7 linked regions of the Daphnia pulex genome follow. The protein of the gene in region 6 interacts with the protein of the main gene of each other region in a pairwise test. Links are inferred from orthologs where the notes say so. Each region holds a gene or a part of one and is shown on either strand. Other genes may lie near its edges.

Region 1 (4,174 bases), on a different chromosome or scaffold from region 6:
GACTTTCTCCACGAAGATGAAAATCTCTTCCTGTCCCGTACAACAACTATAGACCTTATCTATTCGGACGATGCGTAAGTCTCCAGCATGAGTGCTTTCTAGATTTTGAAAAACACGGTAAGATTAGGTTAGAACAGTATTGCTGCGTTAGTAAAATTCCACTTCGTTTAGAAAGACTGAACATCCACTTCATGTTTAGGACTTCCAATCAAATCTCGTATAAATCGAAATTCGAATTCGAGTTTTTCGAAACTTAAGATGAAGTCTAACTTAAATTGACAAAATCCAAATTCGCGGGTCAATTGAATTAATAGAAAATTTGAAGGTGAATATTCATTGAAGTTATTGCGGATATTTTTTTATGTGTACATTAATGCTGATTTCCGTAATTTTTTTAAATAAAATCATATGTAAAAGTATCAAAATGTGTGTCATTCAAAATACTTTATAATCGTTTAAAGAAGCACAGACAGGATAACAATTTTATGGAAACCTTTTAAATTTCGATTTTTGTGCTTTTATTCTTTAAATGATTAAAAAGTAATTTATTTTGTCTGTACTAACCATACAAATGTTTTGTGGATAAAGATCTTAACATAAATTGATTCGAATCGATTTAAATTAATTTTTTTTTACTTGAATCAAATCAATGTGATTTTTTTACAAAAATTCTCAATCCGAAATGAGGTTTCACATGTAAATTGATTTGAGTGGATTCCTACGTTTAACTATTTAAAAATGACTTTGCTACTTGGATTTCGAAGGCGTCATTTTTTACGCTTCTGAAAGTGGAGAGAAATAATCGAAACAATAAAAAAAAGAGAGGTCACCGTTAATTAATAGAAAATGGAATAAAAATGAATAACGCTCAAACTCCTCGGTTATTGTTGTTTTTCCATTAATATACTTAGCTAGTATTAAAAACTACAGTACGTGCATAAAAAAATACGAAATTTAGGACGACGAATTAGATTTTCCGTTTTCCTTTCACGCTTCTTTAACGCGGTAGTTTTAATTAGCAACATTTTCCACTACTATAGATATCTTTTAAAACTTACTTAAATTGTGAATAGCTTGGGAATATTGAGGTGGGCAGATCTGTTCACGAAAACCGTTTTGTTCCACAAAGGCCTCAAACTTTAGTTTAACCGAATGAAGATCCATTGTATTGGCTATCTTGTCTGCTTCGTCCTTCAACTATAATGACCGGGGATGAATGTTAAATAACTTTACTAATGCAACAACAAATAAGACTACTTAAAATAGAATATAATCATTGAAAACTCCATACCTGTTGCCCTTGGTTACGATTCATGGGTGCATTCCCCAGTTCATTTATCAAACGCCTTTCAACCACCTCACGGACTTGTTTTTTCGCTGTGTGTATAATTGTTAAACCGGAGAAACTTTAAAACAAAATATTTAAAAAAATTTATTATTACTATTATTAACAATTTTATTGAGTAGCCTATACATACGTTGCAGTCCATTCGTTTTTACCAGCGGAGACTATCATTTCTTGGTATTCTCCTTCGTTCCCATTGTTCCCATTGGAGTTTCCTTCCCCTCCAAGACGATGGACATGTGGAACAGGTTTTGAACTGTTTGTAACTAATGTACAACGAATAATAGCTTCTCGATCTTGACAGCCTTCCAACTAAAGACAGTCATTTAGTAATACTGGCATTAATATTAATTCTAAATAATTGTGAATAATTGGCAAAATGAAAATATACCAATACAAAACTGACTAATTCTAACACAACTAATATGTGTGACAGAAATAAGTGTCAACTGAAAAAGTTGAAATACAGTTCTATAGGTGGAATTATCGTACACTGTTTTACAACGGCATAACATTAAACGCAATAGCAGGAATCGCTTGGCGTTAACCCCTACCTCTCTTTTTAAATTAAGGTATTCTGACTTCTGAGTTATAAAGTGGAGATTAAAGATCAACAGTTTTGAATGATAATTCAACCCATATATAATTTACTACAACCTAGTAATTATAATTAAATACTTAAGATTCCAGATTTGAAATTATGGATGAGTTGGTAAATATTTACATTAGCAAGTGAAACATACTTGAACACGAATATATTCTTTTTTGTTCCGTTCCTTGCTTTCTGCCATAAGACATCCATGTGTTCCAGTCATTTCAGAGGCATAACGAAAACGAAACTTCCCTTGTGGTTGATTAAGTATAGATAAACATGGGGATAGCCTGCCTGGTCTGATAGGAATTGAACTGGGAGAATTTCCTGTAATAAAATGAATCCATATTTTACACAATTTTAACATAAATTCATTCTAAAAAACTGCTGATTACCCATGTAGGCACTGTTTGGTGAGGCACACATCATAGGAGAGTTTCCACTGGAGAAGCTGTGGCTTATCGGAGAACTTGAGGAATGTGATGATTCAGGTGAGTAAGGACTACTACCAATTGGTTGATGCATTCTTCATAATTTTAATTTTAATAATCATACTTATTAAATAACATTTGATTATATGTTAAAGAGATATAAATGATATAATGTATATCAACAGTCAACACAGTTCATAAGATACACAACGGAACTAACCTTGAATACACGAAAGAATTCTCGTATTAATTCAACGCAAACGAATTAGCTAAAAATCATTTCGATTTGCGTGTTATATTCAACAAAGACCGTTCAAACTGGAGCCTTTCACAAAGTTACAAAGTTTTATAAGTAAATTTAGCACTGCTCGCGCAATCTTTAGCCTGAAGCTTCATTGATATGACAGAAGGGGAAAACCCATGTGTATAAACAAAACTTTCGATTATATTCCATAGTCGGAGTTGTAAAACCTAAGACCTCTGTCGGCGTAAAATTGAAACACAAACAATTATAAATTGTAAAAAGTTAAAAACCTTTAAAGTAAAAAATTAATTTCTCAGCTAATTTATATTTAATATTTTTTTAAACTTTCATATGAAGCCGTAGTTTTTCTTTGGATAAATAAAAATGTGAATTTGACAACACAAAAAAAAATCTGCCGCAGCGGACAGCGCCATAACTCTCCGCTTCTTAAATGTACATTCTAATTCCATACGCTATGTTTTCGAAAACTGGTGGGTTTTTCCCCTTTATTTGTGGATACATTGCCTCATGTTGCACTCGAGAGACGTCCACTTTCCCAGTCCATAAATGTGTAATAAACAAACTTTCGGTGGTATGCACATGTTACGTTTCATATCTCGACTTTGATTCCAACACCAAAGATTAGCATGGCAAGTCGCTGGTGCATTCATTAAATCAAATGTTATCGAATATTATATGCAAACAGCAATGACGTGCGCAAATTTTGCAATATTTAAAATAATATAGTATGGTATTTAGAATATTCCATGCACAATACCGTTGAAAACGTTCATTTTTAAAATAGGCTACAATTACTTTTATAACAAAATTTATTTACAGGTGTTTATAATCAGACCCCTCGTTCGCTTTCGAGTTTCCAACTTGGTCTGGGTCTGACCTCTTTTGAATTTTTTTAACTCGTTTGTTTTTAATAAATTAAATTAAATAGTTTTAGATTCTTGCTAGGGAATTAAGAATTTATGGTCAGTACACTTCTAAGGCTTATCATCAAAATGACCGCCATAATCTTGTCGGGGATAGCATGTAAGAAGGGTAAACAACTAAAGAATAATTTTAATATAAAATAGACTAGATTGTATTTGGGCTTGAAGTAAAAATTAAAAGATGACCAATTGAGTAACACATCTAACGGTACAGGCAATAAGTGGGAAATACTTAAATATAGGTACAAAAATATTAAAAAATTGCGAATAACATTGCACCGTGCGACTTGCGTAGCAAGGTTCCCTCCGGGCTTTTGGTGCAAGAAACGGAATGCAGATCCCTTGCTTCGCACGCGAAGTATAGAAAGAAGTACAATTGAAAATAATATATTTACTTCCCACAGAGAAGCAGTAACGGGCGTGCAGCACAAAGATTTCAGATTTTCAGGTACTTAAATCACAGATAAAGACACCATAAGTCTTCTTTATCTATGCTTAAATTAGAGCTATAGACTCCTAAAATCTTTGTGCTGCACGCCCGTTACTGCTTCTCTGTGGGAAGTAAATATATTATTTTCAATACTTCTATGAGAAAATGTCTTTGCAAACGAGAGAGGG
Region 2 (3,921 bases), about 2.4 Mb from region 6:
CAGAACTGGAAGGGAAGGTAAGAAAATAAATGTTTTTCATTTTGTTTAATGTTCAGGGTTGAATAGCAGTCAAAATAAATAATCGGTGTGTGTGCATGTTGGATTGTGCACTCATGCCAGAATTATTTATATACAGTTATTATCATTATCAAATCATTTTAATTGTTCTAATACTGTATTCATTTGTTTTAGATTGAAAGGGAAAAATTTGAGTACACTCTTAATACTCTTAATGAGGTATATGCAGAAGCAGAAAAAATGAGTTGTAGCTCATGCTGTGAGGGATGTTTCGCATGCTTGACTGCATACTTGCTATACTGTTGTAGTGATACTCATTTTGAGAAGGCAAGTCCAGTAAGAATCTACTTCTCTAGATTTTGACTTTAATCATCCTTTTTTTTTATAGTGTTTGAAGAAGGTGGCCAAATTTATCATTGAACAAAATGAAAGAGTTTATGTACCTAGAGGACTACTGATTATTGACCCTGTTGAACGAGGACTCAGAGTTGTATCCTTTTAAAAAAAACTTAGTTAATTGCTACTAGGTTGTATGTTTTATTCTTAAGTAGCACATTTAAAAATTATAGCAAAATACCTAGTATCAATCATATTAAATCAAATGGTAAAAAACCTAAAATCGTTAGATGTGGTAATACTTAGTTTCACATAATTTTAATTTAACATAATTTTACTGAATATTTTTATCTATACGCCATTCATACATAAACATTCCTTAACTTAATTATCTCTACAGATTGAAATTTGCATTTTCAGCGACAATCCTGCTTCTACACCTGCCAGGAACAACTAAATTTATGAAGACATCCTTGTATCTATATATTTGTAATTATGAACTTGAGTTTTCCTTTTTCATATTCCCATCCTAAGTTTGTGTAAACATGTGCTCATCATCATTAACTACCTAGATATTGTAAAATGAATAAATTGTGAAATGTGATTTGAATACTGATCCTTTGAAACAAATTGGTTTTGTCGTCATTTACCGCTTCCTTTATATCCAAACGTAAGTGAATTGTGCTACCGCGTATGGAAGCGCAAATAGGTGATAAATAAAACGTAGAAATTTGTGTAAGATCTAAATTGGTGAACTGGTAATTTTAAATACTGCAAATTTAAATCCATTAAAAACCCAAGCAGGAGCTAACAGATTTTGTTAGATTAACTAATTTATTTACTATTGAAGTTTCTGATTTTTATCTAAGTGTTTGTTTTATTTCAACTTGCTCATAAATTCAGTTCTGTTTATGTATCTAGTGCGTAAATTAATAATTAATTACAAAAGAAAATTCGCTGTCCGTCACGGCATCCAACTAGTTAAGAAGTAGCTACAAGAATTACAAAATGGTTATAAATTAACTTCTCTCCGCGAGAAGTATAAATTCTGAAAGAAAGATTAGGCTGAAAAATTTTAATCATCCTAAAAAAGGATTAGTAGATCAGACTGGAACAGAAGTACAGAACGAGGAACGGACCAACCAAAACTCGGGAAATTCAGAATCGTGATAAATTCGTTTTCTTTGGTTTCCTGGCAACCCCGCATGAATTGTCACAAATTTACATCGACTGAACAACTTTTTTCATCGAGAAAGCAAAAATGGTGCTCGAAAGTACTATGATCTGGTAAATAAATCCGGTTTCTATCTTATCTTAAATTTGAAAATTGGTAAAGTAACAGTTAAGGGTCATATCATTCCAAATTATGGGAGTAATTTTTTTGTTTTGGATTATCTATTTGCTCTACTTGAGGAGTGAATTTTAGGCTTGTTGACTTGCAATTTTCTGAGTTAATGCGGCATTTTTAAATTTTAGTGTGGATAACAGCGAGTTCATGCGAAATGGAGATTTCATTCCTAGCCGACTCCAAGCCCAGCAAGATGCTGTTAATATGGTTTGTCATTCAAAAACAAGATCTAACCCAGAAAATAATGTTGGTCTACTGACATTGGCCAAGTATGCATTTCGCTAAGTTGTACGGCAATTTGTTCTCTAACTGATGTGTTGCCTCACTAAATTTCAGCACCAAGGTACTGGCAACATTGACTACAGATGCTGGGCGTATACTATCAAAGCTTCATCAAGTGCAGCCAGAAGGCTCAATCAATCTCCTAACAGGAGTTAGAATTGCCCATGTAATATTTATTTTGAAGTATTGTGTTCTTGAGTTATCTAATATTAATTTACCTGTCTAATAGCTCGCTCTTAAACATCGGCAAGGGAAAAATCATCGAACTAGAATTGTAGTATTCATAGGTTCCCCCCTGAATTTCGATGAAAAGGAATTGAACAAATTGGCCAGAAAACTGAAGAAAGAAAAAGTTAATGTTGATATCATTTGCTTTGGGGAGGAAGTGAGTTCTTTCTTTGTTTTTTAAATAACTATTTCGGTAATTTCTTACATGATTTTGGATTTTATTAGAATGGAGGAACTGAAGTGCTGGCTAGTTTTATCAATACTCTTAATGGCAAAGATGGCACTGGCAGTCATTTAGTTACCATTCCACCCGGTAATTTTACAAATCCTTTTAAAGGATGTATATATTTTTACAGTATCAATTTTTTGTTTAAAGGGCCCCATCTTGCCGATGCGCTGATTTCCTCACCAGTCATTCAAGGAGAAGATGGTACAGGAGCGGTTGGAATGGGGGCTGGAGGTTTTGAATTTGTCGATCCTAATGAAGATCCTGAATTAGCTCTCGTAAGTGTTATCACTATTTAAATAGTTTATTATTTCATTTTAAAATTATTTTCTTATTAAAGGCGTTACGAGTGTCGATGGAGGAGCAGCGTCAGCGTCAAGAGGACGAAGCTCGTCGTTCGGGAAATCCGCCGGCTACAGAGCCCGCTGCAGCTACCACTATTGGCGGTGCCCCTGCTTCCAACGAAGATGCTATGCTCGAGCGTGCGTTGGCTATGTCTATGGATCAACCAAGTGTCAATACAACTGTAGCCAGTGCCGCCCCTGCAGCACCCGTTTATCCCGATTTCGCAACAATGACTGAAGAGGAACAAATTGCATATGCAATGCAAATGTCCATGGCAGAAGCTCGTAAGTTCTTTGTAAGGTGATATGTTGTTGCGGTTTGTAGACTAATAATTTAATATAAAATTCAGAGGGACCAGTAAAAACGGAAACCGAAGCTATGGAAGTAGAACCAACGCCAGCAGCTGCGGCTAGTGATGATTATGATGAAGTTATGAAAGATCCCGAATTTCTTCAGAGTGTCCTAGAAACGCTTCCAGGTGTTGATCCTTCAAGTGATGCTGTACAATCTGCCGTCGACGCTTTGCGAAACCAAGATAAAGACAAAAAGCAAGGCAAAAAGCCTGACTCCAAGTAAACAGATTGATTTCTTACGCGTCGCGAATGTTTGAATCCGGAATAAATTGATTTTCATCTGTTCATTACGTCTGCATTTAATGTAATGCGGAAGGTGTTTTGTTCGGTTGGCACATAACTGCGTAATTGATTATTCTAGGATGTTTTCGTATTTTTCTGAACTGAATAAAGAAACTCAAAAAATCTTGATGTACAAATTTATCTCTAGAACATGCGCTTTTGAATGACATATACACAAGCTGCAAAGAATGCAGCCAAAGCTAGAATAATTAAAATCAAATCGGTCGTCTCTCTCCGTCCAAACCGGGAGACCAACTTTTTTGTGGTTGTTAAGGCGCTTCCCATAACTTTAAACTCATCCTGATTGTCACTCACAGCATGTGATGATTGAGCTACACAATATATTAATTTATAGTATTGATTAAATTTAAAAAAAAATGGATTAATTGTTCATACCAAGTACTTCTAGAGTTCCTCTATTTTGCTCCAGAACACTAGCCATGGATTGACTTATACTTCTCAAATTGGCAGTCACATTGGTTGACATTTTGATAAGTTCCTCT
Region 3 (3,425 bases), on a different chromosome or scaffold from region 6:
CAGAAATTTCATTCATACAGCCCGGAGCTAAATGGGTGAATTTTTTACATGTGTTAAAAAAGTTTTTTTTTTTTTTTTTTTTTTATTTTTTTTTACATTGGTTTGCCGTTTGCTGGCACGCCGAAACCGACACAAAAAAAAATGTAAAAAAAAAAAAAAAAGTTTCACCGCAACGCCATCTAGCTACCGTTCGGGCTTGCCCGCGGACCCAGCGATACGACCCGGCTGCCCCGGCGCCCGTCCCGTAAAAAAAATACCTCAGTGGTTTCAAAAAACCTCAGTGGTGGTTACACATTTCCTGTTTTTTTTCCCTTTAACCCGGGCAGTGGCCTGGTATTCATGGCCCGTGTTTCAGCCCTAACCTCGAGTACGTCTTTTTTATAAAAAAAAAAAGAAAAAAAAATCTCAAACCTTGTAACCTGAATCTGTACGGGAAGAATCAAACAAATTTTGACATAGAATCAAAATAAAATACTTTTGAGAATTTGTTTTTAGGGTAATTTTATTTTTTACTGAATGTATTTATCACCGAAACTAAAAACAATGATTCACAACAATATGAACATTTTACAAGTTGTAAAACAAATAACATTCCTATATGTGAATAAAAAATAAACAAATCAATTTGAAAATACAGCACACATTGAAAGAAGTAAATGTAAAAGATATTTCATGAAAATTTAGTTTGTTAACTTCAGCCTGCTTTTCAAGAAAGAACTGATTCCATTAAGACATAATAATTTATCAGTCAGAATCCAATTCCTCAGCATTACCAAAGTATTCACTAACATTGTTTGATATAAGGCTATCATCATGCTTGGCTATCATATTGATAATCTCAGGATCCCTGGAAAGAGCTAAGGCTTTGTTCCCTTCACAATTTAAAATGTTTGTTTTTGCTCCACTTGAAAGTAGCAAACTAACAGCTTCAATTCTACCTTTCCAAGCAGCAGCATGAAGTGCAGTGTCTCCTAATTTATTCTATGTATATATAAACAAATATCTATTAGATTATAAAATAAATAATAAAATTAGGTAAATTAATTACTTGAGCATTTAAATCAATTTTTTCTGATTGCAGTAATAGTTGCATGCAAGAAATATGTCCTCCATGGGCTGCCCAGAACAAGGCTGTATTACCTGCTTTATCGAGTTGCTTAAAAAAAAATAATGAAACTTCAGCATCAGTTATAACTCCTAAATGGAGCTAATTAACTTGCATTCACAGACACTCCATTGAGAATTGCCTCTTCTAAAAATAAGACATTCCCACGCCGACATGCATCATGAAGGGGCATTGTTATCAACTCAGCATTTTCTTCAACTGACAGAAAATGAAACAGAAAATGTGTTGATTGTTTCCTTAATAACACTTTTCAATGGATAACAATATTTGATTCAAGTTACCATAATTGCAGGGAATTAATCCAGTACAGGTACCACACTTAGCCTTTAGCCAGTTAGGGTCTGAGGAGGATTCCATGACATATAACAACTCTCCTTCTTCAAATGACAGTTCATCAGGCTAGGAATATGAGCATGTTAATTAAGATTATTTCTGAAGCCTTAATTGTTAGAATTGTATAGCAAAAAAATAAAACTTACATGCTGTGCCGTATAGGCGTATAATGCTTTAACGACTTTCACTTGCCCTGTCATGACATTTCAATATTATTGACACATTGACAGAGGAGGCAGGGAAAACTTTTTTAACTGTAAATTGAAGTGTTGAATATTACTAATACCTGGTTTTGGAGGTTTCGGAGGAGGTACATTCATTTTTAATTCAAAGAAAATATACTTTTAAGTATTCACAAGATTTATTTCAATTTAGGTTTTTTCCAAAGTAAAATGGTTTTTCATACGTCCATAAGGCCATGAAGGGGGAATGATAAGGAAGGATAAGGCACGACTGGGGTTTTTTTCATAGAGGGCGAACCTAGCGGAATTTTTTCACTGGCAGACCAAAACACCAAACTGCTTTTCGGCGCGGATAAGAGGATTGCATTGCATGTTGTAAACTTCCTCCCGATTGGCGATTGCATAGAAGTCTAGAACTAATTATTAGGAAATAACAAAACCGCATGCTCAACCTTTTTCGATGCATAATTAGTGGTACAGATTGTTTGCTTATCTCCTGGCAAGTAAGCAACGTAGGCAGTAGGCAATGCAAGTATAAATATTCATTTCTTGAATTCTTTTCAACAATTTTATCTTTCCTTCGTCGTATCGCAGCTTTTCCTGCATTTTATATATCAGAGTGAAAAAATTACATCTGACAAATTTGCTTGTAGCCTATTATATGTATATATTTACTTATAATAGTGCAAAGGGTTTTAGTTTTAATACCGCAAGTGGAAAAATAAATCGACTTATCGAGAAGCTTCCTTTCGCTTCCAATTTCGCACAGCAGCCAACCATATAACCCTGTTTTTTGAAAGCCTTGCCTTTCGTCAGTGGTATGGAGTATGGACTATGGAGAGATGGTTTCCAGCATCCATTTTTAAAAATTTCCCATAAGGGGCCGTCTGCTCATTTTACTAAAAGGTCGAGTTGACTGTTTATATGTCGCAACTCGCAACGTCCTAGATGGCGTTGATTCAACTCGACCTCCATACAAAATCGCTAGTAAAAAAGTAGCAAAGTAGCTTGCCGTCGAATCCCCTTATGGGAAATTTAACATGGTCATTGGCATCCATCTTTCCATACCCTTGCTTTCGTTTATTGTTTAGTTTATTTCCTGAAGAGGCCTTTATCTGTTTGCGAGCATGGCGACATGCGATTGGCTCGAGTCTTGTGTTGGCGAGAGGAGAGATAATATATTAAGGAATTATATAAAATAAATTATTATTAATATTAACTAATTTAAGCTTAGTAATAGCTTAGTTAAGTTAGAGCACAAGTTCGTAATCCAGTGGCCGTCTGAGACAGCATTTTCAAATTTGGAATTGGAACATTTTCCACGAATGGGAATGGAGAAATCAGGCTCTGTCCCTAAACTGCGAAAGCGAAACGCGAAACGCGAAACGCCTAAAATGCGGAAAGGCTGTGCGAAACGGACCAAAATTTTTGGACCGTTTCGCGGGACCAAATGCCGGAGGGCATACTAAAATGCGAAACCTCAAAATGCGAAACGAAAATGTTTTCTTTTCCCCACCAGAGTGCAAATTGACGGATGAGGCCCGTTTAGGCCGCCATGTTTCATGACTCATAGTATATGTAATGTGAATGTATGTATGGATATGAATGTGTGTACTGTGTACACTATATATTAACGAATATTACTTTTCGCTAGAGTTTTGAAAATAAAATGTTTGTATTTCATGGGAAAACAGTCTTATCAAATTAAATTTATTTAGTCGACTCGATTACTCTTGTTTCTTCAAGAGCACGGGGGTCCCTCGGATGAGCTCTTGAATGAGAAA
Region 4 (4,249 bases), about 1.1 Mb from region 6:
TGGTAAGGGGCAAGGCACTTGGAAGCGATAGCAATACAATAACAGTTATCAGAAAACTTAGCGTGAGAGTTTCCGAGTAAGGTTATTTGAAGGGTAAAATTACGACATTAACGGACTTTTCAGTGAATTCCTTACCTTCACTGAAATGTGACAAAACAGGCGATACAAACAAAAAAACTAAAAATAGAAGGAACAATCGCATGATGAACTCTCAACAGCGAATGACGACACCCCAATTAAAAATGAACTCGAAAATCAGAAAGTCTTGTATACTGGCCGATGACTTGGAGCCGTCTGTTCACTAACAGCAGTTGTCTTTCTTTATAGCTAGCTGTAACATCATGCTCTGTGGTGCCTGTGAGGAAAAAATCAAATGTCTTTCCGATTGCCGGTGGCGTCAAAAGAAGAAGACCCTAGTTTCCCTCTTACGGGAAAGCGTGATGTTTATCTATCGTGAGGATGGCCTCATTCTACCCACACGCTTTTTTTAAATATAAGATAATTTCTTTTACGTTGAAAATATAACATGTTTGCATTATAAAACGTTTTTTAAAAATTTAAAGATATTTTACTTGAATACTTGAACTTTTTTTAGATGGAAGGCCTACCAACACAAAAAAAACAAATTTTAAGGAAAGATCATCGTAGACGCAACAATGATAGTCGCGGAAATTTCCATGATTCCTTTTGCTCAATGCCTCAGTTAGTTTAAAACGATGAAAATAAATAATAAATGAAAAGTATCCTGAACAAACATAATTACATTTGATGCTAATAACATAAAACATAAATATTTAATATCGATTAGCTATAGGCTACAGTGAGCCGAGCGAACCAACGAAGTAACGACCATATTAAACGTATTAAAGCTGGTAACTACGAAATAGAGATATAACGGCCAGTACCTTCGGATGCTAATCGTTTCCAATTCTAATTTTCTGTGATTAATGGCAAGACGATTAATATGCAATCTGCATATTGTGAAGCAGTGAAGGTATGGAGATTGTGGCCATCTGCACATTCTATTTCGAACGAACATTTCTATTATCAAATAACTAAGAACAAATTGTATCGTCTCTTAAAGGCTTTGCCGATTAAATGGACGAAAAATTCTAACTAACTCCCATCAAAATACCTTTACACATTGAAAACAAACTGACCATTGCCGAAGATGGAGACGTGACTGGTGCTGGTCTTCAAACCTGCTTCAAACGTGTCGAAGAAGTTCACAGTGGTTCAGAGAAACATGGGTGACGATGACTAGGCAGTTGACACATTGTTTATCCGGGAAACCCACAAAAACTCTTGTTTTGATGGTACAGAGAGAGAGTATGCCTGGAAAATCTGGAAACCAACACAAGCTGGGACTGAATATCTATTTTGAATAAAAATAACAAAAAAACAACGTCAAAATTAAAACTCATAATGGCAACATGGCTGCGTGGTTGTCAATTTTACGAATTAAGATCTGTCGCTTACCGACTGACGTGGGTATTTTCTGACATTCTGCAACGTCAAAGGTTTCGTGAATTTCCTTCGTTTCATATAGTTACGGCTCACACAGAAAACACAACAAGCCGTTGTAATACAAAGAAATCAAGGCAAGTCATCCGACATTTTGGAATCGTTATTCAGTGTTCAACAAATACCATCGTTATAGATTTCGAATGGGTTGCGGGTCGCTGTCACAATAACATTTCATCGAGCGTAAACCGGTCCAAGTTTTCACGATTCATGTATTGTTTTGTTTTTACAGATGTCTGTGACTGAGCAACCTTGTTATACCCTCATCAGTACTCCAGATTCTGACTATCCACCTCCAGATCAGCTGCGAAAAGAGTTGGAAATTGGAGATATCAAAGCCAAGATTGATGCTTTAAAAAAGGCCATTTACATAATTTTAAATGGAGAAAAGATTCCAGGAATCCTCATGGCAGTGGTCAAATTTGTGCTGCCACTTCAGGATCATAATGTCAAGAAACTTCTGTTGATATTCTGGGAAATCATTCCAAAGACTTCAGCAGATGGAAAACTCTTGCATGAAATGATTCTCGTCTGTGATGCTTACAGGAGAGATTTGCAACATCCAAATGAATTTATTAGAGGATCAACATTACGTTTTCTTTGCAAGCTTAAGGTAAGCCAATTTCTTTTATACCTTAATTTATTGATAAGCTAATCTTTTGTAATTTACTTTTTAGGAACCTGAAATCTTAGAACCGTTGATGCCATCGATCAGGTCGTGTTTGGAGCACCGACATTCTTACGTTCGACGCAATGCTGTTTTGGCAATTTACACAATTTACCGCAATTTTGATTTCCTCATTCCTGACGGGCCAGAATTGATTGCCAATTTTCTAGAACGTGAACAGGACATGTCCTGTAAACGTAATGCATTCATGATGTTGATTCACGCTGACCAAGAAAGGGCGCTCTCCTATCTTACCTCTTGCATCGATCAAGTAATAGAACTATTTTAAGGTTTCCAATTTCCAAACAAACTTAAGGAAAACAAAATCTGTTAGGTTCACTCCTTCGGTGATATTCTGCAATTGGTCATCGTTGAACTTATCTACAAAGTGTGTCACGCCAATCCTAGTGAGCGATCGCGTTTCATTCGTTGTATCTACAGTCTCTTGAATGCCACCAGTCCGGCCGTTCGCTACGAAGCTGCTGGCACTCTAGTAACCTTATCGTCCGCACCGTCGGCTATTAAAGGTATTATTCATATTCACTAATATTTAATTTGGGTTTCCAACTTAATATGTTTTCTCTTCTTCTTGAACAGCTGCTGCTAGTTGCTACATCGAAATTATCTTAAAGGAAAGCGACAATAATGTGAAGTTGATTGTGCTGGATCGTTTGATCGCCTTGAAAGAGCAGCCGAATCAAGAACGTGTCTTGCAGGTATCTTGAATTTAATCATTCACATGTTACAAAATATTAATTATGTAATTCATTTCAGGAATTGGTGATGGACATCTTGCGGGTATTGGCTACTCCAGATTTGGAAGTACGAAAGAAGACACTATCCCTTATACTTGATTTAGTGTCTTCGCGAAACATAGAAGATATCGTGCTCGTTTTGAAAAAGGTAAGAATTCCGGTGAAATGGTAAATCGATAGGAATAATTTTCTATTGATGAATTATCTTGTAGGAGGTAACAAAGACGCACAACACAACCGAGCATGAAGATACGGGAAAGTATCGGCAACTTTTGGTGCGCACTCTTCACTCGTGTTGCATCAAGTTTCCTGACATTTCTGCGACCGTCATCCCTGTACTGACTGAATTCCTTTCCGACACCAACGAGCTAGCAGCCGCCGATGTTTTGGTCTTTGTTCGCGAAGCGATTCAGAAGTTCGAAGGACTTCGTCCATTAATCATCGAAAAACTTTTAGAAGCCTTTCTTTCCATCAAGTAAGTTTAAATAACTCCATTTCGTTTTTACTGGCAGCAATTCTACATTAGATGTTTTTTTTTTTTTCAAAGATCCGTCAAGGTGCACCGTGCAGCAATTTGGATCTTGGGCGAATACGCCACTTCGGCTGATGACATTCGTTCAGTTATGTCCAAAGTGCGACAATCGCTTGGCGAAATTCCAATCGTGGATGACGAAATCCGAAAAGCAGCAGGAGAGCAGACCGATCCGGAAAATCCTTTAGCACAGGGAACTGGGAGCGTTACTAATCCTGTTGCTTCTAGCGCCCGCTTGGTAACTGCAGATGGTACATACGCTACGCAGTCTATCTTCAGTGCTGCCGTAACAACCGCCAAAAAAGAAGAAAGGCCTCCTCTTCGAAAGTATGTCAATTCTGTTGATGTCGTTCCATTTAGCATTGCATTCATAATTAAATTTCTTTGTAGATATCTGATGGAAGGCGATTTCTTCATTGGTGCATCAATGGCTACAACTATGACAAAGCTGGCCTTACGTTTTGTTCAACAAGTGTCGAACCCGCAAACGCAAAACCAGTTTTGTGCCGAAGCCATGCTAGTGATTGCAGCGATTCTTCATTTGGGTCGTTCGGGACTGCCTCAGAAACCAATTAGCAATGACGATGCTGAAAGATTGGGGCTTTGCCTTAAGGTAAGTTATCAATGGTAAAAAATGAGTGAACCCCCATTACAATTTTCTTTTTCGACATAGGTGCTCTCGGATCGATCACCGATTTTAGTAGAAGTATTTACCGATGCCTGCCGTAGATCCATTTCACTTATGTTAGCTGCCAAAGCTGAGGAAGAAGC
Region 5 (3,996 bases), on a different chromosome or scaffold from region 6:
CGTAAAAATCCAGGATACCGTTTGCACATCTTCATTAAACAAAGCTAAAGATTAGAAAACTGAATCTAACAAAAAAAATTAGAAACTCTCATTACCGCTTCGACTTCCAGTTTGGTAATGGTAGGTGCCAAATTACGGAGAAATATGGAGGCAGTCCGATGCAATTCTCGGGGAAGAACTGGCCCGCCATTTTCCTTTTTTTCTTCCTCCTTGCTTTCATCTTCATCAACTTTTTCTTTGGCATCATCTTTTACTGGAATTTCATCAGCTGCTTCGGTTTCCCTAGGACTACCCTCACCACCAGCTGGCTTACCATCAGGGCTTTGAGGAGCTTCAGATATTTCCGATTGTTCCTTTCCTTCCCGCTCCCAGTCGCTTCCACTATCCGATTCAAATCCGCTTCGTTTTCTTTTGCCACCTATAAAATAAATATAAAAAATACTGGTAAGGCAGTGCGTCAAAAATTAATAACAATGAATTCCTACTGTTATTAGGACTTTTTGGGTCAGAGCTAATTTCCATTTTGGAGTCCTCGATCACACCATCTTCTTTAGCATCGTCGCCTTCGCCCAAATCATCATTTTCTTTATCTTCAATCTCCTTGATAACCTTCTCTTGGATTTTAATAGGCTGCTTCAATTATGAAAGTGAAATGATTTTTAAAAAATCAGTTATAACCAATTAAAGGAAATTAAATAGACAAACCTTATCGGCGGTTGGTTGAGGAGGGTTGTCAAGGACCTGAAGATCTAACTCATTCCCACCTTCGAGTTTAATTACCACGGTGTCAAGAAGTTTTACTAGCTTTTCTGACTGATCCGCATCGATAGTCACTTGATCAAAAGAACCCTCAGCCATTAAATCCAAAATAGTTTTCATGCGTAACTATATTGAATTAATTGATTAGTTACAACCAGAATCTGTCAAAATTAGAGACAACTTACTTCAATATGAGCTTTATGCTCGTTCTTCCGTTTTTGATTCTCTTCCGGGTGATATTTCAACTTAAACCTACATTCGTTCGAGGAAAATATAATAAAACAAATTAGTAACAGAATTAATGTTGAAAACTTCGAATTAAAATAACCAGCTAGGGACCACACTTTTCAAGAGGCCAAGATTTCCCTCACCTGTTCTCCCGGTACGGATTTTTTATAACCTAGCTACTAACTGACCACTGCATTGCGCGCAGTTGAACCCTACTCTAACGCACACTTTGGAGATCTGTTCATTTCATGTTCACACAGTTAAAAAATTGATTTTCAAGTAGCTTTTGACAGATGGTATGGCACCTTATAGAAAGGTCGGAGATGGTTGAAATAAACGGAGGGACGTCAATAGCAGCTATGTCAATCGGCTGAAAAACAGGGGGGATTAAATATATGTAAATTGGTTATCCGAAATCCGATTACACGCGGCAAAACTTATAAATAATTTAGTTACCAGAAAAATTCAATGCAATACACAACACACAAGTCTTTAAAAGAAAACTTATAAGAAATTCTTAAAATATTGATTAAATTTGATATTAACACTTGTAAAAACAAGAAAAAAAACAAGCAAAAACATACCACTCTTCATCCTTGTGGCTTGTGAAAAATTCATTCAGCTGCTGACGACGAAATTCTAGCTTGTACTCGGCATACTTTTTAACTGCTTCTTCGTCAGAGATTGAATCATCGTGGGCAGCCAGAAAAGCTTTAAAGGACATCATTGGTGGTTGAGTAGGAAATTCTTCCCCTCTGGAAAATCAGGCATTATTTATTATTATTATTAACCCTACACAACTAACAATTACCATAAAAACATTACCTTGAAGAAGATCCACTAAAGTTTCCAGCGTTTGGTGGAGTATTAATGACTGGTTCATTCTGACCCCATGAAGAGCCAATGTTGGGCCCATAACCAGCATCAAATCCATAGCGCCTGTCTTCCCTAAAACCATTTTACAAGATTAATAAATGGCAGCATAATATTAGTATGAAAAACATACCAGTCAGGCCTCATCCTTTTTGGAGCTTGTGGTGCATCATACCCACCTGCTGGGCTGTATCTTTCACGACCTCTGTAAGATTCGCGATATTCGTGACGTGGTTGAGAACGAGACCCTCTTTGAGACCAAGATTCACCTCTTCTCGGTTCCATGATGCCTCTACTTTGAAACATGCATTGGACTAAACAGCTTAAAAATAACAGAGCATTTGTCAAACCAACCTATCATTCCACTCTTCTCTCCTAGGATTGCCTCTTTCTTCTCTCCTTCCAGATTCTCCAGCTCCCCGGTACTCACTTCGTTCTCCTCTAAACTTATCCCTTCTGCGACGATCATAATCATCATCACTGTCCCCCATGGTACAGGTTGGTGACCTACTTCTTAAGCTATGGAGAAAAAAAAGAGGAAACTTTAGTTTAATGTTTTATAATATTAAGCATCAATTAATCAACTAATAAGTAAAAGTACTGCCAACTAAGTGGCAATATGGCCGAAAATGCAGATGATTTTTGATAAGAACAATTCGATGTACCGGCATACTCAAATACCAACGCAAGTAAAATAAAAAACTTAATTTCACACACAAAGTTACAGAACTCGCTATAAAACTATTGATGTTCATAAATTTCATATCTTCTTCGAACTTTACCCAAATTTGCGTTTAGTTTGATTTCGCCACGCGATCAGAAGAAAACTGAGAACGCCGTTGCCCGTTGGTGCCAACGAAAGTTTGAGGAATACAAGTGCTGTCGCCTGCAGGGTAAAACTGTTACTGCCTTATGATTTGAATAATCAGTAACTGAAGAACATGGCTTGGGCTGAGAGACAACTGACAAGCGACATAGGCTAAGGCCGCTAAGCGCTAAGCTAGTTAATTTCTTGTAATAACTAATAAGATAACAAAAAAATATATTTTCACCAATGTTTTTTTCTAATAATTGGATCATTTATGAATTAAACTTCTAATGTACCTAGTAAGAAAGTAGTCTTAAAGATTTTTTTATTAACACCATTGGCAAAAGCAAGATTCAACTAGCTATTACATTCTATTATTTATTTTGTATTTGTTATGAATTTTATATTTTAATCCTAATTATAGCTTTAATTGATCTAATGATAAATTAAATTGTCGTGGCGCCACATGCTAGGCTAAACCATCGCACCGTTCGTAGTGTGTACACATGCCGATCCCTTGCTTCGCGCGCGAGTTTCCCGATAGGGTGTTTTTTTCACGGGGTTTAGGTTTTTTGGGGGGAATTTGTCAATATTTCCACCAATCATCAATTTCTCATTTTTCCACCAATCAACAATTTCTCATGAATCATTTTAATGGCATTAAAATAGATCATGAATGTGGAGAGAACCCTTATGATGCAGTGTCATTTGCTGTGAAATCGGCCCTTTATGCAACATAAATTCCATCTATTAAAATATCAACCATGGATGGATATCAACATGAACTGGAGGTATTCAATAACACTCATACTCAGGCTCATCGTTGTCGAAAAGCACTTGGAGGAGGAATGCGGCAGGCGGGTATTTTGGCCGCAGCCGGAATTTTGTCACTTTCAAAGGGACCTACCAGGGTAGCTCAAGATCATATTTTCACCAAACAATTGGTCAATTGGCTGTTACTGCGCAAGAGGTTGGAAAAAGCGTTGTGGAAGTTGATCGATATACCGTAGAGACGAATATGGTTATGCTAAAAGTCGAGCCCATATCAGGTGCTACCCCTAATTCAATTGTGAAAAGATTTGCTGAATCTACTGAAAAGGAAGTTCACGGGATCGGTCAAGATATTCGTTGGCTTGCTTACCCGATGACTGAAACGAACATCATAATTGTTGTTCACTGCAGTAACCCACCTGAAGACATCAATCTCGCTCAAGACAAATAAGGGTATGTTTTTGATGAAATCAATCAAAGTAACGCTGTATAAGTAAACTGGAAGCTTCATAAGTGCTTTATTCCATGTAACGATCATTACAAACGTAGTATTGTTG
Region 6 (3,500 bases):
ATTCTTTTACATATCATTTCCAGTTTTCAGACAATTTCCAGTGGCATTGTGCACAGAAGAATGTGCAAACTTGTTCTAAACGCAAATTTCACTTCTTCTGAATCTAAGCTTCGTTGTTTGGAAAATGTACAAAAAATCGTTCTTCAGTCAGCTAATCAAAGGTTCTTGGCACTCGCCCACCTACTATCCTACGTTTTATGACATCTTCAATTTTCTTTTTTAGATGGTATTCCGAGATCACAGCAGTTCCAAGCGCTACCTTTGAAAATAGGTCTAGCATGTTGCGAGATATCGACAAGGCGTTTGTGCTGGATTTTGCGTTGAAAAGGTGGTTTAAAAATTATTTTCTGGTTTTATCTTGCTAAATCGTCTTCATAATTTAGGGAGTTAGAACCTTTAATGTGGAGAGAAATCGTCGCTCAGACAAACACAGACGACTTTCCGTTATTGTGCAGCAATCATAGTTTCCTTTTATATGTCCTTGGAAGTCGAATATTGAAATATGATGCTTTTTACCATGCCAAGGCATACCTTTTAAATATGATTACCGCCGAAGCCTTCGACAACTCTAAGGTACGCCGATTTCGGATGCTATTAATTTTTTGAACGGTTTTATCTTTTTATGAAATGAGCATCTCATTTTTTTCCATTAGATCCTGTCAATCGCTCATATTCTCAGTGCATTGTGCAAATCCATCTCACCATCGGAGGTCAACGATATTTTCACTGCATCCGAAATCACCATATTGGCTAAAACACCGCTTACCTTAATTGGTGCGATGGATTCGCTTTCCCATTCGTTAGTTCTTCTACAGGCGTCCTCTGAGATTGTTTCCATATTTGGGCGTGAACTTGCAATTGAATGGACAGACAAAGAGAATCTACCGGCTGTTTACAAGGCAATCCATTGTTTGGAGTCTCTTTGCATTCGGATAAGAAACAATGCAACTCTAGAACAACCTACTATTACCGGTAAATATCCTAAATTGTCTTCTTTAGTTGAAGATTTGATAACGAACGAATTTTCATTTAGGCCTGGAGCAAATGATTTGTCCTGATCCAAACTTTGTTTCGAGTGCGAAACAATTAAACCGAATACTTAGATTTATCGAACAAGAATCAAACATTCCAGGAATACTTCATCAAGACTTACTGTAAATTGTATTTCTGAATATTGATAAATCAATTCATTAAGATTTTTCTACTATTTTCAGGTCGACTGTTACTGTGTTTTGTCGAATGCCACTCTTCTATTCCTATATTTGCATTCCGCCATCCGCTTGGAGCAAAGGCTGGAATCCTGAGCTAAATTTGGATGTCGAACATATCACATTGGATCTACCAATAATCCCTTCACATTTTCTGCATGATGAAGTTGTTTTAAAAGAATTCGTTTTCCGGTAATTTTGGGACATTTTCTTATAAATGGATCTTGGATCATGCTGACTGCTTACTTATTCTTAAAGAATCGAGCAAATTAGCTGGATTACCAAAAAGAAATTTGAAGAAATTTGGATGACTTTTCTTGGCATTTTGAACTTACACAATGAGGATCAAGTGAGACCCGAAGAACAAGCAAGCGTCATCCAGGTATCATAACAGAGTTGGTAATTTTTTCTTACAATTTTTGAAAAACCATTTGAATTCAAAGGCTACATGTGAAGCCGTGCGAGCTCTTACAATGGTGCTTCAAAAAAATCTACCATTTAAGACGCCAAGATCTGTGAAAAATAATGAACTAGACAAGCCTCCTGAGTTCACGTCAACTGAGTAAAGCCAATGTGTTATTTAATCTCGCTTAATTATAGCTAATTGTCAATATTTTTAATGGATATTGTAGAAGGGGCAAGAAGCTGAAAGAACTCTGCAATTTGCTAGAAGAAGATTACACGATATCATCTTCCTGCAGTTATTGGCTCAATCGTCACTCCTTCAGACACATTCAATATAATATTGATCAAGGTTCACCATCCAAAAAGAAGGCTACTAGTCCCGAAGATGTTACAGATATAGATATCCAATCCTGTGTTCGCTTCTTAGTGGATCTCTACTCACAGTGGCTTCAGAATTCGGTAACCTTAATCTTCTATGTAGAAAATAATGATATTTTTCTTCAACATTTTCTTTTTTTTTCTCAAGAATACGCCGTACCCGCTGCTAGTGGACTTGTTTCAATCCCTAGTGCACATATCAAACTTCTTTGTCGATGTTCAACAGTTTGAGTGGATGCTGGATAACTCCTTAACCTTACACAGGCAACTTCTTCCTGATGATCCTGCGAGCTTAGAGTCCGCTTTAGTAGGGTGCATCTTGAAATCTGCTTCTTTTATACCCATGGTACAAAATTCATCTGAAATCTGAAGTTTTGTGATAATGTATTGTTATTTTTTCATGTCTCAGAATATGGAATACTGGGAATTAGTAAAAAAGCACTGTGAAACCGCATTGAATTCCCAGCATATTTCCACGCGAACTAGTGGATTAAATGGTCTTTTGTATCTACTTCAAAAGTTTGCCAGAAATCCAGATCTTGCTCGTACAGGCACTCTCGTCAACCTGGCTATGGATTATGTCGGTAAATGTCTCAGGTTGGTGTGATTCATCTCTTTACGTTTAAAGAAATTTGTCTGTTTATTTATTTGAAATATCATATTAAGCCCTGAACACAATGGTCCGACCTGGCATCAGTCCTTCGTTTGGTCAATAGCGTTCTATTGCGGCGAACATTTTGCAGTATTGCCCTATCAGAATTATGCTGTCGTCGATTTTGTTGTTCAGTGCGCTCTTAGTAGGCTTGTGCAAAACGAACAACAATCAAACGAGATCCCAAAAGAAATTTTACAGGTATTTCGTGAATTTATTGAAGATCTTATGTTGTAGGCTAATCTCGTTATTGATTCGTTATAGGGATTAGAACGGCTGAGCATTCTAGGCGTATTGACTCCGATTTGGCGAACGCAAGTTAAAAAAGAGGTTCTCAATTTAATACGCAATGTTGATTGTGATTGGATTCTACAGCCAGCACTACGAACTCTGCTGTCATTAGTCTATTCAGGTATAGGGTTTCATGCTGACTCTGTTTTTTCACTCCTCTCAAACCAATATTTACTTTTTCAAGATTTTGGTAGCCAATTGTATAAACCTGGAGCAGATCCTGAAACGATGCTCGCCGCTATGGAATGGGTGGGCGCCCTGTTCCAACGGTAAAGCTGAATAAGATGATTCTTGTTTACTTAGTTATTAATTTGTATCTGTTTCTTAATTTTCCATTTCCTCAGAATGAAGCGCGGAACAGATCTAGAGGCGGAGCTTTTGGGGCGAATTATGCCCGTCATAACCTGTGATATTTTCCCACCAGCAGACATCTTGAATCGTATTTTAAGTGAATTTATAACGGCAAGACCCACAGTTGCCTGTTGTTTAACTCCAACCATTTTCAAAGTAAGTCGTGGAACGTAGAATTTGTGTGGCATTGTCAACTGCCAAGATGTTTACTCTCT
Region 7 (4,232 bases), on a different chromosome or scaffold from region 6:
TCTTTTTCCCAGGTTGAGAAAGCGGAAACCTAAAATAAAATTTCAATACTACGTGATGAATGAAAACAAACAAAGTTTTGCACTTGCGCTACCTCTTTCTCTGCCAACATGGCTTTAAACTGCTGAACACGATCCTCGAGGGGAATCACAGCTCTCTGCTGAGCAGCTTTCACCTCAGCCTCCATGGCAGTATCTTTGGTAGGTTCTTCGATTCTAACCTCTTCAATGACTGTAAATAGAGATTCTTTTCATTAAATTGTCTTTGGAAAATTTGAATGATGTTACCTTCGTCATTGATTTTGGATTTCTTTAGAGGAGGTTCATCGGTTCCGCTTTCGCTTTTCTTCTTTTTATCTGGCTTGATTTCTTTAATTTCATCTTTCTTATCAACTGCAAGGATAAAAACGTTACGAGTGCCACATTTCAAATTTAAAGAGTAGATATTGATACCTTGTTGAGGACTGTCATCGGGGACATTCGCTATCAACTTGTCGACGTCAGGTCGGTTTTTCAAATCTTCTGGTTTCTCCCAGACGGAAGAACGGGTACTTGGATTGAAAAAGAATACTCTTCCGTCACCAGTCCAAACAACGCACCTTCATGATAATAATAATAGTTGTATATATTGTAACTAAACTCCTTTAAAACCAATCGTACCATGGAGTTCCAGGCACCGGAGTGCTAGAAACGGGTCTGCTCTTGTCTTTCGGTACTTTAACTTCCTCTTTTTCCTTTGTTTCTTTCGCTGGTTCTGCCTTTTCAGATTCGGAGACTTTGGGTTCCTCTTTTTTCGCAACCTCGGGCATTGAAGCAGGCTGAACGGGTTGGGCAATTGGGACAGAAGGAGTGGCATGAACTCGGGCTGCTGCGGCAAGGCGAGCCACTACAACAAAGAGAAAACTTGAGAAAAACAGAACAAACAATAATAAGTTGGGAATTACCTTCATAATCTTTCAAAGCCTGTGGTTTTTCCCAAACACTCGATGATGATTTCACATTAAAGTAATAAGGCTTGCCATCAGGAGAACGGTATTCGCACCATTCCATTGCTTGTGACAATAGTATGGGATCAGTCTGAAAAACAAAACGCATTAAAAATTTGTACTGGATAAAAACTTGGTCAAAAGATGATTACCCCTGGATCAGATCCCAACATAACGGGATATGGAACAGGTCCAGCCGACAATGCAGGTGCAGGTGTTGGAGCCACTGCACCCCCCATGTTCCAACCTGGAAATTTAAAAAACCCTTAATATTATTTCTACTCTAGTTAAAATGAAACTAAAATGAATACAGACCTTGATGTGCTGGATAGAATGGCTGTTGAGCTCCAGGTCCATAGCTACCACCTTGAGTTGGTCCAGTTGGCATAGCCACTCCTGCCATTTAAATATAAAAATAAGTTTCGTTTTAAGGGCAATTATAAATGATCTTACCATTTTCTGGGGGCTTTGATGCTGCAGACTGTGCCATTGCTTCAACCTAGGAGTGAATAATAAAATAAGTTCAGGTTCTATTTAGGAAAGATGACTGATTTTACGAATTACCTGCTGCTGTGTCAAAACCTTTACGTTCGGCCCCTCGGGTCTAGTCCAAGTAGTCTCTCTTGATTTAGCATGATAATAATATGATTTACCATCTCCTGCTTTCGTTTCAACCCAGACTTCGTCAGTTGATGCGTCGATTTCACTAACTGGAGCTAGATGAGATTGCGGTTGAGACTGATGGGGTTGCTGGTATCCACCAGGTGCAGGAGCCATCCCAGATCCAGGATAACCAGGATGACCACCTATGTAATCCATTAGTGAAAGTTGAGTACCATGAAAAACTAAACACATTTCAAGACAACTTACCGTTACCGTATCCATGTGCTGTAGGCTGTTGAGGAGGCATATTTCCATAATGTTGATTATGGGGAGGTGGTACATTACCATAACTCGGAGGTGGTCCTTGTTGTGGTGGGCCACCCATGTAGCCCATGCCACCACCGTTTGGTTGATTAGGTGGACCTTGCTGTAAGTAAGATGTTTGTGAGTTATTGGACTACTGTCAACAGAGGCAACATTTCCTGACTTACCATATCCCATCCACCAGAGCCATCCATTGAATCGCCATTGCGACCACCATTCTGTTCCTGTGAAAAATGGGGTCTCATCTGTCGAGGATAATCACTATAGCCCTGCATCATATTTGGAGGTGGCCCTCGTGGCCCTCCCATCGGGCCCATACCTCTTGGTGGTGGGCCTTGGAAACGCTGAGGTGGACCTGGACGGGGGCCATGGAATCCACCATGTCCTCCTGGTGGTCCTCTCTGCATAAACGGTGGACGGGGGCCCATTGGACCACCTCCACCAAATGGTCTCATGCCAGGTCTCATGCCCATCGGTCCTCTAGGCCCCATTCCTGGTGGGCCTCTAGGTCCACCATAATGCTGTTGTTGATAAGACATGGGTGGGCCAAAGTCTCCATCATCGGCGAAATTCTCCTCATTTGCATTAGGGCCAGTGTTAGAGGGTCCCTCGATGAAAAATGAATCGTTGTTTTCGGACCCTGCAAGACAACGTTCAAATAAACTAGTAAGTAACGAATCTTGCTTTTTCTAGAGGAAGTGTCGTATAATAATCCATCAGATATATTTACCGCTATCCATTGTAGATAATTCAGATACCAGAAAGAATGATTATTGTCAACAACTTTTATTTAAACAAAATTTCTATTCCGGCGATGTGAGATTTGCTTGAGTCACAGCATTTTTGACGACCATTACTAAAGTGACGGTAGTTTACCAAACTGACGGTAGAGGGTGGTGAACAAGCAAAGCAAAATTAGCGCGAAATTCTTTCATGTTCAAATAGTTTAGCTTATGGATGATTTTACCAATTCTTTAGTTCATCGCGTTTTAAGTATTTGGAGTTTTGTATCGCTTTATTACACACATTACAAAGATTTTCTTGGCCAAAAAAAAAATAATTTAGGGAAGACATAGAGTTTGCCGACCGTGCTAAGCCATGGCTAGACGTTAAGATCCTTTTAATAGCTTTTGCTACCGCTTTCTTCGAATTCTTGAAAAGTTATTAAATTGTTTAGTGAGGTGTTCATGCAGAAAATGTCCAATTAGATGAAACGATTGCGCAACTGTTGTGTGGGGTCAGTTATGTATTGGCAATATTGCATTAATATTGAAATGTTAACAAAGAAAAAAGCCAATAAAGGATCTGACTTGGATCACTCATCTACCAGTTAAACTGTGATGGTGTTCGTTATGTTATACATGTTATATCACCTCTCAAGACATTGAGTATAAATCGTATAAAAAGTATAAATTCCACTCGCGCGGGAAGGAGAGTATCAATATAAGTTGCTCCAATTTTTGGATAGAAATAGAACATTTAAAAAGGGAGGTTTTAAGTAACATGTCGGGGTTTATATAGTACTATTTAATATTCTAATCTATGTAACATTGATATATAATTAAATGCTTGAAGGTAACATGTAGTATAGAATATGAAGAGATCAGTCACTCATATGTCTTGACCTGGTTGGTAGCGTGAGTTGAGCGCAATTGAATGATATTGCCATCAGACTCATACTTTGATCTAGACATTCATTTGGCAAAGGATGTGATAAAAATGTGGTTCAGGTATCATAACTCTAAACGCATGAAATACGTTAGAATAATGTTATAAATTGTCACGAGCTGAGCTTGTCTACTTGGATCATGAAATCCTAAATTTACAAGAATAAATGTCTGTTGTAAAAAGAGATAAATTTTTAAAAATATGAAAGCTGATGAACAAAGATGATAAGAAATAACAGTTCAGTAGGAAAAGGTGAGTGAATGATTGTCTTTATAAATTTTTGAAAATATGTGGAAAAATTGGCTTTTTCTTCTCCTGTGAATGCAAAGTAGAACCAACAACACAACTTGGTTGCAATATAGGTGTTCCAACAGGTCCTTTTACGGGTAGTGATTGATATGAAAGATAATAATTTAACGATTTATGAACACAAGTTCCTTCAGTCAAGGCTTGAAAATGATGGGTATAAATAACATTTTCCAATAAAAAAGAAAAAAAAAAAACTTAAGTTAGGTCATGGTTTGATGCCATGTCTAATAACTGTGAGAAATCCCACATTTCACCAGGAAATGTGTAGTGATGCAAAGGAAAGCCTCTACCTAATATTAATATCTAAAAGCAGCAGGTGACCAATTGAATTAGATGACTAGCTAA

What was found.
Region 1: the proteins of huntingtin-like (region 6) and nuclear factor NF-kappa-B p100 subunit-like interact in binary tests that used the Homo sapiens proteins (3 or more experiments, as listed by UniProt). The link is inferred for Daphnia pulex from reciprocal best matches to the Homo sapiens genes HTT and NFKB1.
Region 2: the proteins of huntingtin-like (region 6) and 26S proteasome non-ATPase regulatory subunit 4-like interact in binary tests that used the Homo sapiens proteins (3 or more experiments, as listed by UniProt). The link is inferred for Daphnia pulex from reciprocal best matches to the Homo sapiens genes HTT and PSMD4.
Region 3: the proteins of huntingtin-like (region 6) and osteoclast-stimulating factor 1-like interact in binary tests that used the Homo sapiens proteins (3 or more experiments, as listed by UniProt). The link is inferred for Daphnia pulex from reciprocal best matches to the Homo sapiens genes HTT and OSTF1.
Region 4: the proteins of huntingtin-like (region 6) and coatomer subunit beta-like interact in binary tests that used the Homo sapiens proteins (3 or more experiments, as listed by UniProt). The link is inferred for Daphnia pulex from reciprocal best matches to the Homo sapiens genes HTT and COPB1.
Region 5: the proteins of huntingtin-like (region 6) and serrate RNA effector molecule homolog interact in binary tests that used the Homo sapiens proteins (3 or more experiments, as listed by UniProt). The link is inferred for Daphnia pulex from reciprocal best matches to the Homo sapiens genes HTT and SRRT.
Region 7: the proteins of huntingtin-like (region 6) and transcription elongation regulator 1-like interact in binary tests that used the Homo sapiens proteins (3 or more experiments, as listed by UniProt). The link is inferred for Daphnia pulex from reciprocal best matches to the Homo sapiens genes HTT and TCERG1.

What each region holds. Positions count from the first base shown.
Region 1 is NC_060019.1:3,340,688-3,344,861, forward strand, and holds the start of nuclear factor NF-kappa-B p100 subunit-like, read right to left. Parts: upstream 2,801-4,174; 5' UTR 2,589-2,800; intron 2,492-2,588; exon of another isoform or gene 2,464-2,491; 5' UTR 2,463-2,463; coding exon 2,333-2,462; intron 2,265-2,332; coding exon 2,089-2,264; intron 1,658-2,088; coding exon 1,479-1,657; intron 1,407-1,478; coding exon 1,292-1,406; intron 1,198-1,291; coding exon 1,059-1,197; intron 99-1,058; coding exon 1-98.
Region 2 is NC_060020.1:3,405,142-3,409,062, forward strand, and holds 26S proteasome non-ATPase regulatory subunit 4-like, read left to right. Parts: upstream 1-1,488; 5' UTR 1,489-1,615; coding exon 1,616-1,641; intron 1,642-1,830; coding exon 1,831-1,971; intron 1,972-2,038; coding exon 2,039-2,150; intron 2,151-2,213; coding exon 2,214-2,369; intron 2,370-2,437; coding exon 2,438-2,525; intron 2,526-2,588; coding exon 2,589-2,716; intron 2,717-2,778; coding exon 2,779-3,067; intron 3,068-3,132; coding exon 3,133-3,359; 3' UTR 3,360-3,421; downstream 3,422-3,921. Other genes in the region: golgin subfamily A member 7-like, read left to right, coding at 1-17, 193-345, 407-508, 755-811; vesicle transport protein SEC20-like, read right to left, coding at 3,563-3,750, 3,815-3,921. UniProt on the Homo sapiens protein: Component of the 26S proteasome, a multiprotein complex involved in the ATP-dependent degradation of ubiquitinated proteins.
Region 3 is NC_060022.1:6,869,850-6,873,274, forward strand, and holds osteoclast-stimulating factor 1-like, read right to left. Parts: upstream 1,935-3,425; 5' UTR 1,780-1,934; coding exon 1,746-1,779; intron 1,653-1,745; coding exon 1,606-1,652; intron 1,526-1,605; coding exon 1,408-1,525; intron 1,325-1,407; coding exon 1,221-1,324; intron 1,157-1,220; coding exon 1,049-1,156; intron 982-1,048; coding exon 745-981; 3' UTR 501-744; downstream 1-500.
Region 4 is NC_060020.1:2,118,638-2,122,886, reverse strand, and holds the start of coatomer subunit beta-like, read left to right. Parts: upstream 1-1,449; 5' UTR 1,450-1,601; intron 1,602-1,756; coding exon 1,757-2,137; intron 2,138-2,201; coding exon 2,202-2,462; intron 2,463-2,525; coding exon 2,526-2,718; intron 2,719-2,788; coding exon 2,789-2,907; intron 2,908-2,965; coding exon 2,966-3,094; intron 3,095-3,158; coding exon 3,159-3,421; intron 3,422-3,493; coding exon 3,494-3,805; intron 3,806-3,868; coding exon 3,869-4,091; intron 4,092-4,151; coding exon 4,152-4,249. Other genes in the region: uncharacterized protein LOC124192347, read right to left, coding at 136-202. UniProt on the Homo sapiens protein: The coatomer is a cytosolic protein complex that binds to dilysine motifs and reversibly associates with Golgi non-clathrin-coated vesicles, which further mediate biosynthetic protein transport from the ER, via the Golgi up to the trans Golgi network.
Region 5 is NC_060024.1:618,478-622,473, reverse strand, and holds the start of serrate RNA effector molecule homolog, read right to left. Parts: upstream 2,801-3,996; 5' UTR 2,643-2,800; exon of another isoform or gene 2,526-2,642; intron 2,380-2,525; 5' UTR 2,352-2,379; coding exon 2,215-2,351; intron 2,156-2,214; coding exon 1,994-2,155; intron 1,936-1,993; coding exon 1,813-1,935; intron 1,743-1,812; coding exon 1,572-1,742; intron 1,012-1,571; coding exon 945-1,011; intron 886-944; coding exon 706-885; intron 634-705; coding exon 486-633; intron 419-485; coding exon 96-418; intron 30-95; coding exon 1-29. Other genes in the region: uncharacterized protein R102.4-like, read left to right, coding at 3,433-3,638, 3,746-3,890. UniProt on the Homo sapiens protein: Acts as a mediator between the cap-binding complex (CBC) and the primary microRNAs (miRNAs) processing machinery during cell proliferation.
Region 6 is NC_060020.1:1,047,203-1,050,702, forward strand, and holds part of huntingtin-like, read left to right. Parts: coding exon 1-161; intron 162-223; coding exon 224-328; intron 329-383; coding exon 384-573; intron 574-653; coding exon 654-972; intron 973-1,033; coding exon 1,034-1,154; intron 1,155-1,214; coding exon 1,215-1,400; intron 1,401-1,466; coding exon 1,467-1,590; intron 1,591-1,651; coding exon 1,652-1,770; intron 1,771-1,840; coding exon 1,841-2,072; intron 2,073-2,139; coding exon 2,140-2,337; intron 2,338-2,400; coding exon 2,401-2,588; intron 2,589-2,657; coding exon 2,658-2,844; intron 2,845-2,907; coding exon 2,908-3,055; intron 3,056-3,118; coding exon 3,119-3,203; intron 3,204-3,278; coding exon 3,279-3,441; intron 3,442-3,500.
Region 7 is NC_060019.1:12,732,122-12,736,353, forward strand, and holds the start of transcription elongation regulator 1-like, read right to left. Parts: upstream 2,801-4,232; 5' UTR 2,651-2,800; coding exon 2,641-2,650; intron 2,551-2,640; coding exon 2,078-2,550; intron 2,014-2,077; coding exon 1,854-2,013; intron 1,790-1,853; coding exon 1,548-1,789; intron 1,483-1,547; coding exon 1,437-1,482; intron 1,380-1,436; coding exon 1,299-1,379; intron 1,231-1,298; coding exon 1,136-1,230; intron 1,075-1,135; coding exon 942-1,074; intron 884-941; coding exon 658-883; intron 597-657; coding exon 451-596; intron 391-450; coding exon 286-390; intron 230-285; coding exon 93-229; intron 30-92; coding exon 1-29. UniProt on the Homo sapiens protein: Transcription factor that binds RNA polymerase II and inhibits the elongation of transcripts from target promoters. Regulates transcription elongation in a TATA box-dependent manner.